Linked DNA regions of Mus musculus: regions 2 and 3 are each reported to be linked to region 1. The links are microRNA targets in miRTarBase. Many come from high-throughput screens and were not tested one by one. Region 1 holds a microRNA gene; each other region holds the end of a gene's coding sequence.
Evidence for each region. The annotated mature microRNA mmu-miR-410-3p reads AAUAUAACACAGAUGGCCUGU and lies in region 1 at 2,246-2,266, shown strand. An mRNA with a match to its seed (bases 2 to 7 or 8) in the 3' UTR can be bound and repressed. Matches are read on the target gene's strand: a 7mer-m8 pairs with bases 2 to 8, a 7mer-A1 pairs with bases 2 to 7 and ends in A, and an 8mer does both.

Region 2: the mRNA of Pfkl is a reported target of mmu-miR-410-3p. Seed matches in the 3' UTR shown: 7mer-A1 at 3,389-3,395.
Region 3: the mRNA of Tet2 is a reported target of mmu-miR-410-3p. Seed matches in the 3' UTR shown: 8mer at 2,048-2,055 and 7mer-A1 at 2,319-2,325.

The regions. Positions count from the first base shown.
Region 1 is chr12:109,741,519-109,745,668 of GRCm38, forward strand. It overlaps Mir410 (microRNA 410), which reads left to right and starts at 2,197; the gene lies at 2,197-2,277. It overlaps Mirg (miRNA containing gene), which reads left to right. Exons shown (of 8, transcript NR_028265.1): 3 at 172-297; 4 at 544-772; 5 at 1,839-1,900; 6 at 2,148-2,329. Mir541 (microRNA 541) reads left to right here and starts at 891; the gene lies at 891-980. Mir409 (microRNA 409) reads left to right here and starts at 1,640; the gene lies at 1,640-1,718. It also overlaps Mir412 and Mir369.
Region 2 is chr10:77,984,417-77,988,416 of GRCm38, forward strand. It overlaps Pfkl (phosphofructokinase, liver, B-type), which reads right to left. Exons shown (of 22, transcript NM_008826.5): 22 at 2,531-3,941. The coding sequence ends at 3,794. Cfap410 (cilia and flagella associated protein 410) reads left to right here. Exons shown (of 7, transcript NM_026431.2): 7 at 3-1,022. The coding sequence ends at 131. It overlaps Gm51807 (a long non-coding RNA gene), which reads right to left and starts at 8. Exons shown (of 3, transcript XR_003949012.1): 1 at 1-8.
Region 3 is chr3:133,463,492-133,467,491 of GRCm38, reverse strand. It overlaps Tet2 (tet methylcytosine dioxygenase 2), which reads left to right. Exons shown (of 11, transcript NM_001040400.2): 11 at 1-3,815. The coding sequence ends at 755. Among named protein-coding and RNA genes, the nearest start is that of Tet2, 79 kb to the left of the region's middle.

The DNA of each region.
Region 1 (4,150 bases):
AGGAAAGAAATGCATGTTTTTTTATGAAAATCAATGTGGGTGTGGTGTTTGAGATGGGGAAATCTATGGATATAGACTAGAGCTAGTGGGGTGATAAGAAGGACTGGTCACCATGTGGGTTTTTTTTTTTAATGTGGCTAAACTTTATTTTCCCATCCCAAACCTTTACAGAGAGCTTCATGGAGTATTCAGAAGCTGGCGGGTGTCACCTGGAGGATGTGACTGGGTACCAGTGCCAGAGCACGTGCCCACTGAGCAGTCTTCTTCACTTTCCTCGATCCTCATGAAACATTCCGGGTAAGACACTGGTTCTGGGGAGTCTGCTCTTGCCGAGCAGTTGGTACCTGGAACATTCTAGGGCCTGCCCTTCCTTGGGTTTCCATGTTGCCAGCTCCCAGGGCTAGGCTTAAAGACGTACCCATTGTTGGTGCTGAAGGGCTAGGCCCGTACGGGAGGTCATTTTAGAGTGGATGTATCCAGGGTCTAATATACTATCTGGGGTGTGATGAGCACCAGGTTTCATGGTGGCTCTCTTTCCAAAAGGATCTTTACCTCAAAGGACTCCAGAGGCTACATCATTGTCTTGGAACTGGTCAGTGGCTGGAGCTCTCTCCAGGACAAGTGCTTGGAGGAAGAACCTGGACAAGCTTCCCTCCCCATACTGTTGACTGGATCTTGTAGCTACCGTTAGCCACCATCATCGCCATTGTGTGCCTCTTAGGAGCATTTCCAGGAGGTGATGCCAGCTGGGGAAAGAGCCTCTGTCCCACAGGTCAGTTTCCAGAACACCTACATGAAGCTGCCCGTGGCGTCTTTTCCCCGTATGACACACTGCATGTGACCAGTCTCTTGCTGCCCTGCAGCAAGGCTAGAAGCCTGTGTGAACTCTTGCCAAAATCAGAGAAGGGATTCTGATGTTGGTCACACTCCAAGAGTTTTAAAATGAGTGGCGAACACAGAATCCATACTCTGCTTATGGCCTAAGTCAATGGATCCTGACCCTTACTGGAGAGCCCTCCCTGGCGTGCTCGTGCGGGGCAGCCATACACACTGGCACAAGGGGACCCTGCGGGATCTCCTTCCGCTGTTCTTTCTCTCCTCCCTCCATGTTTATCTTTGAAGCATTACTTGCTTGGTTTATAGGACTGGATGGTCAAGCAGTTCTTGCTATGACATCACCGTGGGGGGAGGGGGCAGGTGACAGGGCGGGGATGCCAGGGTCGTGGGGCTGCAGTGGTTGGGTGGGCCCAAGGAGGAGCATCTCTGGATGATGCAGTCATTGCCTCCTCGCTTCTGGAAGGCATCGTCTCTGGGAGGGTGGTGTGGTATATGCGCAGGGTCTCAGCATCTCCCTATCTCCAGCTTACAAAGGAGAGATAGAGTAAGCAGAGTTCTGCACCCACTTCTGCCCCGAGTCAGCTCCTCGCTACCTGGGTCTCAAGGTTGTCTGGGAAGGCTTTAGATATTCTTGGAAGGTGAAAGGGTGGTAGATTGCACTGGGGAGGTGATGGAATAATTGCTTTCACGTGGTGGAGGGTGGCTCCTCACTGAATGGGGAGTTATAATCTCTGAGGGGCTCCAGGATGGTTCTTCTGGAAACTCAGCCATCGGCCTCGTTCTGAGCATCCGAGCCTCTCCGTGGTACTCGGAGAGAGGTTACCCGAGCAACTTTGCATCTGGAGGACGAATGTTGCTCGGTGAACCCCTTTTCGGTATCAAATCCCTCCAGGGAGGCCACCTCAGGGAAGACCATGGACTCATCTCGCTCTGGGGTATGGGACGGATGGTCGACCAGCTGGAAAGTAATTGTTTCTAATGTACTTCACCTGGTCCACTAGCCGTCGGTGCCCGCTGCAGCCTGCGCCCAGGATGTCACAGCCTCAGCTCAACACCTCTGCTGGTACTTGAAGGGAGATCGACCGTGTTATATTCGCTTGGCTGACTTCGAATAATACATGGTTGATCTTTTCTCAGTATCAACGCTCAGCTTGGAGAAGCTCTTGGAGTTGCAGCCCCTGTGGGGGTGGGGACAGCATGGTGCTTCTAGGTTGCTGCCTCCGCGGGGAACTGGGCTGGGTGGAACAGGCTGTGTGCTGCCTGTGTCAACCCTACTCACCATTTATATGCAATCCCCCCCTTCCCCCCAGGACAGCTTCAGGTGGTGATTCCAGCTCCAGGGTTGCTGCGGTCAACACTGGGTACTTGAGGAGAGGTTGTCTGTGATGAGTTCGCTTTATTAATGACGAATATAACACAGATGGCCTGTTTTCAATACCACCTGCCACTCCGGTCACTCGGCAGTACATACCAGGTGTCACACCACTGCCCGGTAGGTAAATGCATGGACTCTGTATGACGCTTGTCACCCCCTCTTCACTGAACCTCAGCTCTGAGGAGCCTCCTGGGATCGCACCAACCTTGTAGGCTGGGCCACGAAGCATTGGCCAGATGTGCAATGGATGGCTGTCCACTTTCCATGCCTCTTTCCCGCCACAACAATGGGTGTTTGTCCCTGTCTAAGGCTTCCACCGAGGGCTGCATGCTCAAATGCCCTGTACCCTGGGTGCTTCTCAATACCATGAGGGCTTGGAGGGGCTAGCATGATACTTAGGGAAGAGCCAGGCCAGTTGGTTACACGTGCAGTTCCTAGTATCTGAGGTGAGATTGCCCGTGACGGGTTTCCATTCTTAATGCTGGTACAGTGCATGGTCACCTCTCTTTATCATTGGCTCTTACTGTGTGAGCATGGGTGTCAGGGGAGGGACACACTTTGCTGACCCACTGGACACCACTGATGGTCAGGCATGTAGCTGACTCATCCTGACCCAGAGCCTCACATCTCCTGAGGTGGGGGTTGGGAAGTCCAGAAGGGCATCTTAGAGGAAGAAGCATCCTAAGTAGAGTCCGTGCTGGTGGTACCTGAGCTAGCTTGTCTCTGAGACGTTTGTTTTCTATCTGATGACTATCCCACAGCCTACTTCTCTGCACCATGTCCTACCCTAGACCATTTCTACTTTGAGGCATTGATGCCAAGAACTGAAGCCTTTGTGTTGGTTGACTCTCTAGTCTGTATGTGAGACCATCCCTTGGCCTGTCTTGTCCTCAGTGCCACCCTGTTGGAAATAGCACAGAATGTCCTCCTGAGTCTACAAGGCAGTGATACCCAAGCTCTGTCCCTGCTTCACGAGCACAGGGGGCCCAGTAGGGATTAGCCTGCACTTCTTTTTTTTTTTTTTTTTTTTTATTTTTTTTTTTTTTTTCATTTTTTTTTTATTAGGTATTTAGCTCATTTACATTTCCAATGCTATACCAAAAGTCCCCCTTACCCACCCACCCCCACTCCCCTACCCACCCACTCCCCCCCTTTGGCCCTGGCGTTCCCCTGTACCGGGGCACACAAAGTCTGCGTGTCCAATGTAGCCTGCACTTCTTCATGTTTCCTCCAACTTAACACTCTGGCTCTGTCAGACTCCTGTGAGCTTACTGTAGAGGCTTGACCTAGAGTCTCAAGGACCCCAGAAAGTACCTGATCACACCCAGTAGGAGCCTTTGAAAGACAGGCTATAGATTTTTGGTATTTAGTAAGGCTCCCCAGGGTGGCAAAGAGCTCTTTCTGATTGGGCTTGCTCCCCATTGGAGCAAGTAGCACCCTCACCCTGGCAACTCCACCCTGCATGCTTTTTCTCCTCTTCTGGGCCTCCTCAGCAGCAAAATGCTCTTCCAACAGAGATAGTGGCTGCGCACCCTGGCTTGTACCTAGCACATGGTCTCCTTTAGATTTCTTCTCTTGTTCAGGATGGTCTGCCCAGGCGCCCTCTCTCTGGGAGTTGGTCCTGGTTACTGTCTCCCACAGTCCATCCCCCTTCCTTGGTCCTCAAGCTTGTAGGCCCCCTCCACAGGAGTTCAAGACTCGGAGGGGATCGTGTTCCCTGCTCTGCAGTGACAGTGCAGGCAGCCTGACACTCTTATCCAGCTCCTTCCTTTGTGATATGACATCAGACTGCTTGTCAGCTATGGCTCCCCAGGTGCCTGCTTTCCCAAACTGCCTAGTACCTTGGTTCCCAGCCTCTCCCTGACCCCAACCAAAACAAAACAAAACAAAACAAAACAAAAAAAAAAAAAAAAGAAGAAGAGAAAAGAAAAGAAAAGA
Region 2 (4,000 bases), not on the chromosome of region 1:
AGAACATCCTGACTGCCATATTGCTACTGCTGCGGGAGCTGGATACGGAGGGGCTGGAGACTGTCCAGCAGACCGTGGGCAGCCGGCTACAGGCGCTGCACAGGCCGGAGCCCCAGGAAGACATGGAGTGATTTCAGACGCCCCAGTATCTGGACCCTTTTATATCCTGAGGAAACACAGCCCTACCTGGAAAGCCTTCAAAGCAGGCCCAGTGGCTGCCAGCAAAGCAGACCCCTCTCCTGTGCTGAGGGCTGGCAGAAATGCTGCCCACCAGCATGGTCCCTGGGACTTACCTGCTGAGGCCCAAAGCTCTGGGCACTGTCTGACCCTTCCTCAAGGGAGGCCTGAAGGAGCCATACCCTCCAATAAAGCACTTTCTGTTTGAGCTGGAAGGTCTGGGACAGGAAGCATCTCGGGGCCTTGACGTTGAGGTTCATGTTGTTTCTCAGCCGCTAGGGGGAGCCCTAGTATCACTGTATCAAGCCTACCCTTGGAGATGCCTAGAATATCTTTACGGGGCACTGTGTCCCAGCTGTCCTTAGACATAGCCTGGGAGAATGGAATTTTTTGTTTTTTCAGGACAAGGCTGGTCAGGACACTGTCCTTTTTCTTTCTTCTTCAGGAGAGGGATGTCACCTGAGTGACTGTTGCTCGTCATTCTGAGGCGCCAGATGCCATTGGTAAAGTTGTCTTCGTTAGAGCCATTAATTGGGGGAGGCCCTGTAGCTTACCTAGGCAGGGCCACCTTGGTGCCTTGGGGTGACCTTACACCTGCCATAAGAGAACGAGCCAGGAAAGGCCCCAAGATTAGCATATGTAAAGCAACCTAAGCAAAAAAAGTCTAGAAGGGCCCTTAGAGGGACAGGTAGAACATGCCAAAGAAGCCTGCTGGCTCTGTAGATGACCTGTAAGGGTCTTAATGCTGAAGGTTCAGGGCAGCTGGGCCCTTGGCTTTGCTCCACCGCTGGCCCACTTCGAAACCTGGGAGTGCTTTCTCTCTTAATAAACTGTTTTTACCAGTGTCTGTGTCCCAGGCCCACTTCCTCGTTCCAGGATGTAAGATTCTGGAAATGCCCAGCAGGTTCCCTCAGGACCACACCCCATGCCTGTAACGTCCTAGCTTTCCATCCTCCTGTGGCACACTCACATATACCCCAGGGATGGGCAGACTACCAGCTGCACCGAGCCCCCAATCCCTGATCCCCACTCCCAGCCTCTGCTAAAGCACAGCTCATATCCCTACCTGGAGCCGAGCGTGGGACATTCAGCCACATCTGGAATCTTCCAGATCCAGCCCCTTGAGCAGAACAGGAATTGGCCTTTCAAGGGTTTGGTGCCCTCCCATCCAACTCACAGCGGGGAGAGCTAAGGCTGGAGGTGTAACCCCCTGGAAGGGTGGATGTGGTGCAAGAGAAGAGAGGAAAGAGATGGCTACTCTGTACCTGAAGCCATTGCTATCACCAGGGCCCAAAGCCACCTTGCAGCCAAGCAGGTAGACCCTGAATCTAGCAGGGGTTCCATACTGAGAGTTGAGTCCACGCTGATGACAATGACCCGACTCCACCTGGCCATGAACAAAATGAGCCACACAGGCCCACCCTTCATGCCTCCCCATTGCAGAACCCCCTGTGTAGCAGACGCCCAGACTGAGCAAGCGGCTGGGTAGGTGCTGCTCTAATCTTCAGATGTCCAACTATAGCCTGCCATGTCCCCAGGCCCTGCGCTGCTTTGGGGGTGGAGGGAGAACACACTAACAGGTATGGACATTGATGGTGACTCTGGAACAAGCACAGGTGTCTCCCAGCAGTCCTGAGAGACCTGAGCCTGTCAATTAACCTGGAGAATTATTAAGAGGCCTTACGGTAGCCTACGAGGCTATTCCAGGAAGGCTTAGTAAAGGGGGAAGGCCCTCTCCAGGGACTGCCTCCGCTAGCAGGCAGCCCAGATATTGGGTGCTCCAAGTAAAAGGCAGTGCTGCCTGCCAGCCCTTCTTGCTGCTGTTACCACCCTCTGCTGACATCAGACACAAACTCTGACTTTCCAGTGTGGCGTGAAGATCCTCCAGGCCCTCAGCACTAGAATGGAGCTGCTGTGAATTTAGCAGCTCCAGGGCTCTCAGCCTCCCCAGCCAGCAGATGGCTGTTATTGGTGAAGTCTGGATAAAGATGGCCCTCACAGGCCCATAGGGAGTGACACTATTGGGAAGTGTGGCCTTGTTGGAGGAAGCTTGCTACTGTGGGGTGGGCTTTGAGGTTTCAGGAGCCAGGCCTAGTGGCTCACTGTCTTTTCCTGCGCCTGCAGATCCAGATGGAGAACCGTCAGCTACCTCTCCAGCACCACATCTGCCTGCATGCCGCCATGCTTCCCACCATGATGGTAATGGGCTAAACCTCTGAAACTGTAAGTCAGCCCCAATGAAATGTTCTCCTTTATAAGAGCTGCTGTGGCCATGGCGTCTATTCACAGCAATAAAACCCTAAGACAATTAGGCTACCAAGCCCATTTGTGTAAGCCAGTCTGGCGAACCCACTTTTACAGTATATATACATTCTATTGGTTCTGTTTCTCTAGAGCCCTAATATACAGGCCTTGTTGCCATGTGCTCAAGACCAAACCCTCCAGGGTGCTGTGATATGACACTTACACTCCAGGACTCTGCTCCCAGCAGCTTTGGGGGCTCCAGCCAGATGAAGCAGCTGGGTACATGGCCTGCAATACCCCCACAGAAGCCTTACAGTGACCCATGGGGGGAGACGTCTACCCAAGGAAACCACCGCCCCAATGCGGCCTGCAGGTCCACAGAGCCAAAGTCACAACCCTTGACCTCCATACACGGAGAAACCAGAAACAGCCTCCACCTATTGTAAATATTGTAAAAATCCAGGCACTGTAGAGGATGGACCCAGCAGCAGCTCACGTAAGAAACCCTGATAAGGGGCTTAGAGAGGGATCTGAGGTGGGGCTGGCCAGGGCTCAGCCCTTCATAAACTTCTCTGAGGAGCCAACGTCCCGACCTCAAGAACCTCCTGAAGGGCAGCAATCAGCCAAGAACACTATACTGACAATGACAGTCTCCTCTCCAGACCGGGGCACATTGCCCACAGGCCGATACCCCAGCCATTCCAGGGCAGGTATGGGGCTCACACGAGCCTCAGTAGCTCTCTAAGGGCTCAGGTCTCCCTAGTCTCTTCCCGGGAGGGTTCCCTAAATTCCAGTCTTGTAGAATAGCTGTGGGCAGGACTGGAGAGATGGCTCAGCGGTTAAGATCACCAACTGCCCTTCCAGAGGTCCTGAGTTCAAATCCCAGCAACCACATGGTGGCTCACAACGGTCTGCAATGGGATCTGATGACCTCTAATGGTGTGTCTGAAGACAGCTACAGTGTACTTATATAAATTAAACAAACTATAGCCTTGGGTAAGGTTTGCACCTGAGTCCTGACAACCCTCTCCCTGGACTCCTCTGGTCATGTTGTCCCAGTGACCATGCTCTAGACAGGTGACTTTATTTCTAAAAAAGTGAGGCTCTTTTCAGCCGTGTGGTGAGGCAGCCAGCTGGCCAGTGAGGGAGAGGCAATGTGGGTCTGACTGGAAGGTAGGGGCCCCACAGGCTCTCTGTCCTGGGGGTGGGGGGAGGGCTAAGGGAAGAGCCCCAGAGCAGCACAGTAGACCCCCACATCCCTCAGCCAGCCACGGGCTCCGAGTTCCCCTTGAGTTCCCCTCGGTGCTGGGATCTGTGGCTAGCACTGGGAGGGTGAGAGTCCGGGAACGCAGGAACAGTAGTGACAGTAAGCTCAGAAACCCTTGTCTATGCTCAAGGTGCGGCGTGTGACGTGCTCCAGCTCCCCAGACACATAGTCTGCCATGCTGATGCGGTAGTGTGCCAGCATCTTCAGCATCAGCCGCAGATTCAGCCACCACTGCTCCCGGGGCATGCGGTGCCTGCGCAGGTCAAGGTTGGATAGTTAGTTACAGAACTGAATCCCGAGATCCCTTAAACC
Region 3 (4,000 bases), not on the chromosome of region 1:
CCTCCAGATCACCATACAGCCACCCACACACTGACTACAAAACCAGTGAGCATCATCTACCCTCTCACACGATCTACAGCTACACGGCAGCAGCTTCGGGGAGCAGTTCCAGCCACGCCTTCCACAACAAGGAGAATGACAACATAGCCAATGGGCTCTCAAGAGTGCTTCCAGGGTTTAATCATGATAGAACTGCTTCTGCCCAAGAACTATTATACAGTCTGACTGGCAGCAGTCAGGAGAAGCAGCCTGAGGTGTCAGGCCAGGATGCAGCTGCTGTGCAGGAAATTGAGTATTGGTCAGATAGTGAGCACAACTTTCAGGATCCTTGCATTGGAGGGGTGGCTATAGCTCCAACTCATGGGTCAATTCTTATTGAGTGTGCAAAGTGTGAGGTTCATGCCACAACCAAAGTAAACGATCCCGACCGGAATCACCCCACCAGGATCTCACTTGTACTGTATAGGCATAAGAATTTGTTTCTACCAAAACATTGTTTGGCTCTCTGGGAAGCCAAAATGGCTGAAAAGGCCCGGAAAGAGGAAGAGTGCGGAAAGAATGGATCAGACCACGTGTCTCAGAAAAATCATGGCAAACAGGAAAAGCGTGAGCCCACAGGGCCACAGGAACCCAGTTACCTGCGTTTCATCCAGTCTCTTGCTGAGAACACAGGGTCTGTGACTACGGATTCTACCGTGACTACATCACCATATGCTTTCACTCAGGTCACAGGGCCTTACAACACATTTGTATGACGCTGGCCATTAGGCCAGACCACCAAGGACGACCTGTGAGCAGTATGTCTTTCATGGCATGGGCCGTAGGGACAGGTCACAGCATCTGTGACAAATGCAGTGTGTGTTTGTGTGTATGTTTATTGGGGGGGGGCTGTCAGCTCACCAGCAAAATAGTTTATTTTATCATTATATTTAATCTCTCCCGTGGTCCATGGTGGCATTCAGGAAGAGCATCCTATGCAAGGGCACAGTGGGAAGGAAGCGCTGGACATTTGTCTTGAAAACCACTGGTTCTCTTATTGGCTGAGGTCATGCGTGTGCCATGCCCCTCAGCACTCTACACGTAACTGCTTCTAGTACTCAGCGTGTGTAACCGTGGGACACAGCGCTGTAGTAGAGCAGTTGCAGGATCATCTGGTGCTGACGTATGATGTACTGAAGAAATACTGGAACTAAGACTTTTTAACATGCAGGTTTTTTACTGTAATCTTAATAACTTATTTATCAAAGTAGCTACAGAAAGCTTAAGTGAATAATGGCAAAACACTGAATCTGTTTGGGTGTTAACATTAAATGGTGCTACAAATGGTGTTTTTAATAGCTGAAAAATCAATGCCTTCTATCATCTAGCCAGTGTGGTCGAGGGCCCTGGAGGCACTGGGGTACCTCTGATTTTACATTTCTATCTTAATTATTCAGCTTAGTTTTTAAAATGTGGACATTTCAAAGGCCTCTGGATTGTAGTTATCCACCGATGTCCTTGTAGGACTATAATGTATAGATATGCACACTTACACATGTGTACTGAAATATTTTAAGTTGTGTCTTAGAAAAGCACTTTGCCTACCTAAGCTTTGGCAACTTGGGCAATGCTAAGGTACTAAAACATAAAAACAAAACAAAAAAAAGTTTACTTTCATTTAGGATTAAAAGTGGTTTTGTTTTGTTTCCTTTTAAGGAAACATTTGCTTTGCTCTTAGCCACTATCGGCTGATGAGCAGTATCAGGCCTGTTACAATCCAAACCGAAGCTGAATGGATATGCTAGTCCACAGAAAACAAATAACAGTTTTTGGTGCTCACCTTACTTGCTATCCTGTAAAACGGTGGTAGGGCAAGCTCATCCCTCCTGCGTATACAGCTTAAGAACGTCTGTTAATTGCAGGTGATAATTAGCCTTGGTGCTGCAGACAGAGCAAAGCTTGCCCACTTAAGTCCATGTTGTCCCACACACAGACCTGTATGTTCTTCAGAACAGCAGGCTGCCTTTGTGTTCATTACATGCTTTGTGGTGTCTTTTCTTAGCTAAGTGTTATATATACCAGGAAGGTTGAGTGGACTGAAACCCGCAGAAGTTGAGAAGACATGGTTAAGTCCATAGGACTCTACTGGTTACAGAGCAACCAACAAAAACCGAAAGAGAATAGGCAGCTGGTTTATGGTGATTTTAAACATTAATTTGTATTAAAAGGTAAAAAAGAGTTGTATAGTAAATTAAATTGTAAAACAACCTTTTTTAATGCAATGCTTTAGTATTTTAGTACTGTAAAAAATTAAATATATACATATGTGTATATATATATTATATATATATATATAATATATGAGATTGAAGAAAAATTCACATCACGATGGTGCTACCCAGATTGCTCCACATAGATCTTAATGTGAGCTAAGAATCCATTCAAAGTTGGAGTGGTGTTCCTACTTGTCGTCATACCTCAACACTAGCTAGGCAATGGGATACTGAGCTAACAGTGGAGGCTTAGAGCATTGTAGACCACCATTTTTCTTTTTTTTTTTTTTTTTAAATCTTTGTATTAAGACATACCATTTTTAAATACTTGATTTCTTAGCAAGTATAACTTGAATCTCAAACTTTTTGTTCTAAAAATTCAGGGATATTTCAGCTCATTCTCCTTATGCTAACATGTCATCTGTTTATGCAAAGTTGTCGGTTAATATATTCGCTTTCAGAGGATTGCAATCCCTCGTAGTTTGCTTGTATATGTACTGATAACTGAAAACTAATTTTATAAATTTTGTCACCTTTCAATTGTAAATTTTGGAGAGTTGGCATTCAGCAGAGTAAAAAGTGTAAAATAGGAAGCCCTGAGCTGGCAGAGGGAGATGGGGGGTACAAGACATCGCCGGTAATGGCTTCTGATCTAGTGACGAGGACAGCTTTGGACTGCAGCTGGACAGTCCTAGAAGCTGGTGGTGTGCTGTGCAATAGGACTGTTGTTACATTGTGGCCTAAATACAGTGTTGCTTACTAGCTTTGCAAATAGCTTTGCGTCAGTGGAGACCTTTGTAATTTACCATCAGTCACATTTGTCACTAAAAACTTTCAGAATGTCTGCCTTGCACACACACACACACACACACACACACACAAAAACAAAAACCACAAGGTTTCCAAACCATGATGTTGAGTCCACATCAGGTTCCTGCAAGGTGTGCTTGGCAATTTTTTTTTTTTTTTTTTGAGCCAGCCATCCCTAAGGAATATTTGCTTTACATGTCACCCACTGTCATTTGTCAAACTGCTGGCCAACAGGAGTAGTAAGTGTGGTTTGAGAGGATGGGTGGTGTAGGGAGGAAGGCAGTGACATCCCACCTCTGTCCATTAGATCAAGTGGGAGGCAGATCTGTGATTTGCTTCTATAGGAACAGCTTGACTACATAGCCATACTCGATACAAGTGCTTCTGCTTGGTGTCAACATTACTTGAATGAATTTTTCATCTTGATTGACGCACAGTGATGTATAGTTCACTTTACAAGGTAGTTTGGTTAACTTGTTAGGGTTTTTTTTTTTTTTTTGGTTTTGTTTTTTGTTTTTTTGCAGTTTGACACTAAGATAATGAACTTCTGTGTGCATTTTTCTATGCTTTATTTTTTAATGTAGCTTACTTCCTGAGATTTTGGCTTTGTTTATACAATCTGAGGGTGGTTATAAATACTGTAAGTATTGTAATGTTATGAATGCAGTTTATTTTAAAGCTGTTTATTATATCATTCCTGATAACGCCATGTGAGTGTTTTTAATAAAATTTATATTTATTTAATGCACTCAAGTATTCTGTTGCAGAGGTTTTTGTTCCATAATTGAGGTAAAATGGAATGGAGCGATTTTGTTGTTGTTTTACAAGATACTTTTTGCATAGTTCTTAAACATGGTAACCTAAATCTAAAGTTCTCAGTCAGATCTACTCACCATGCCATCTCCTCACTTTCAGCCTACTTCTTTTGTACATAACCA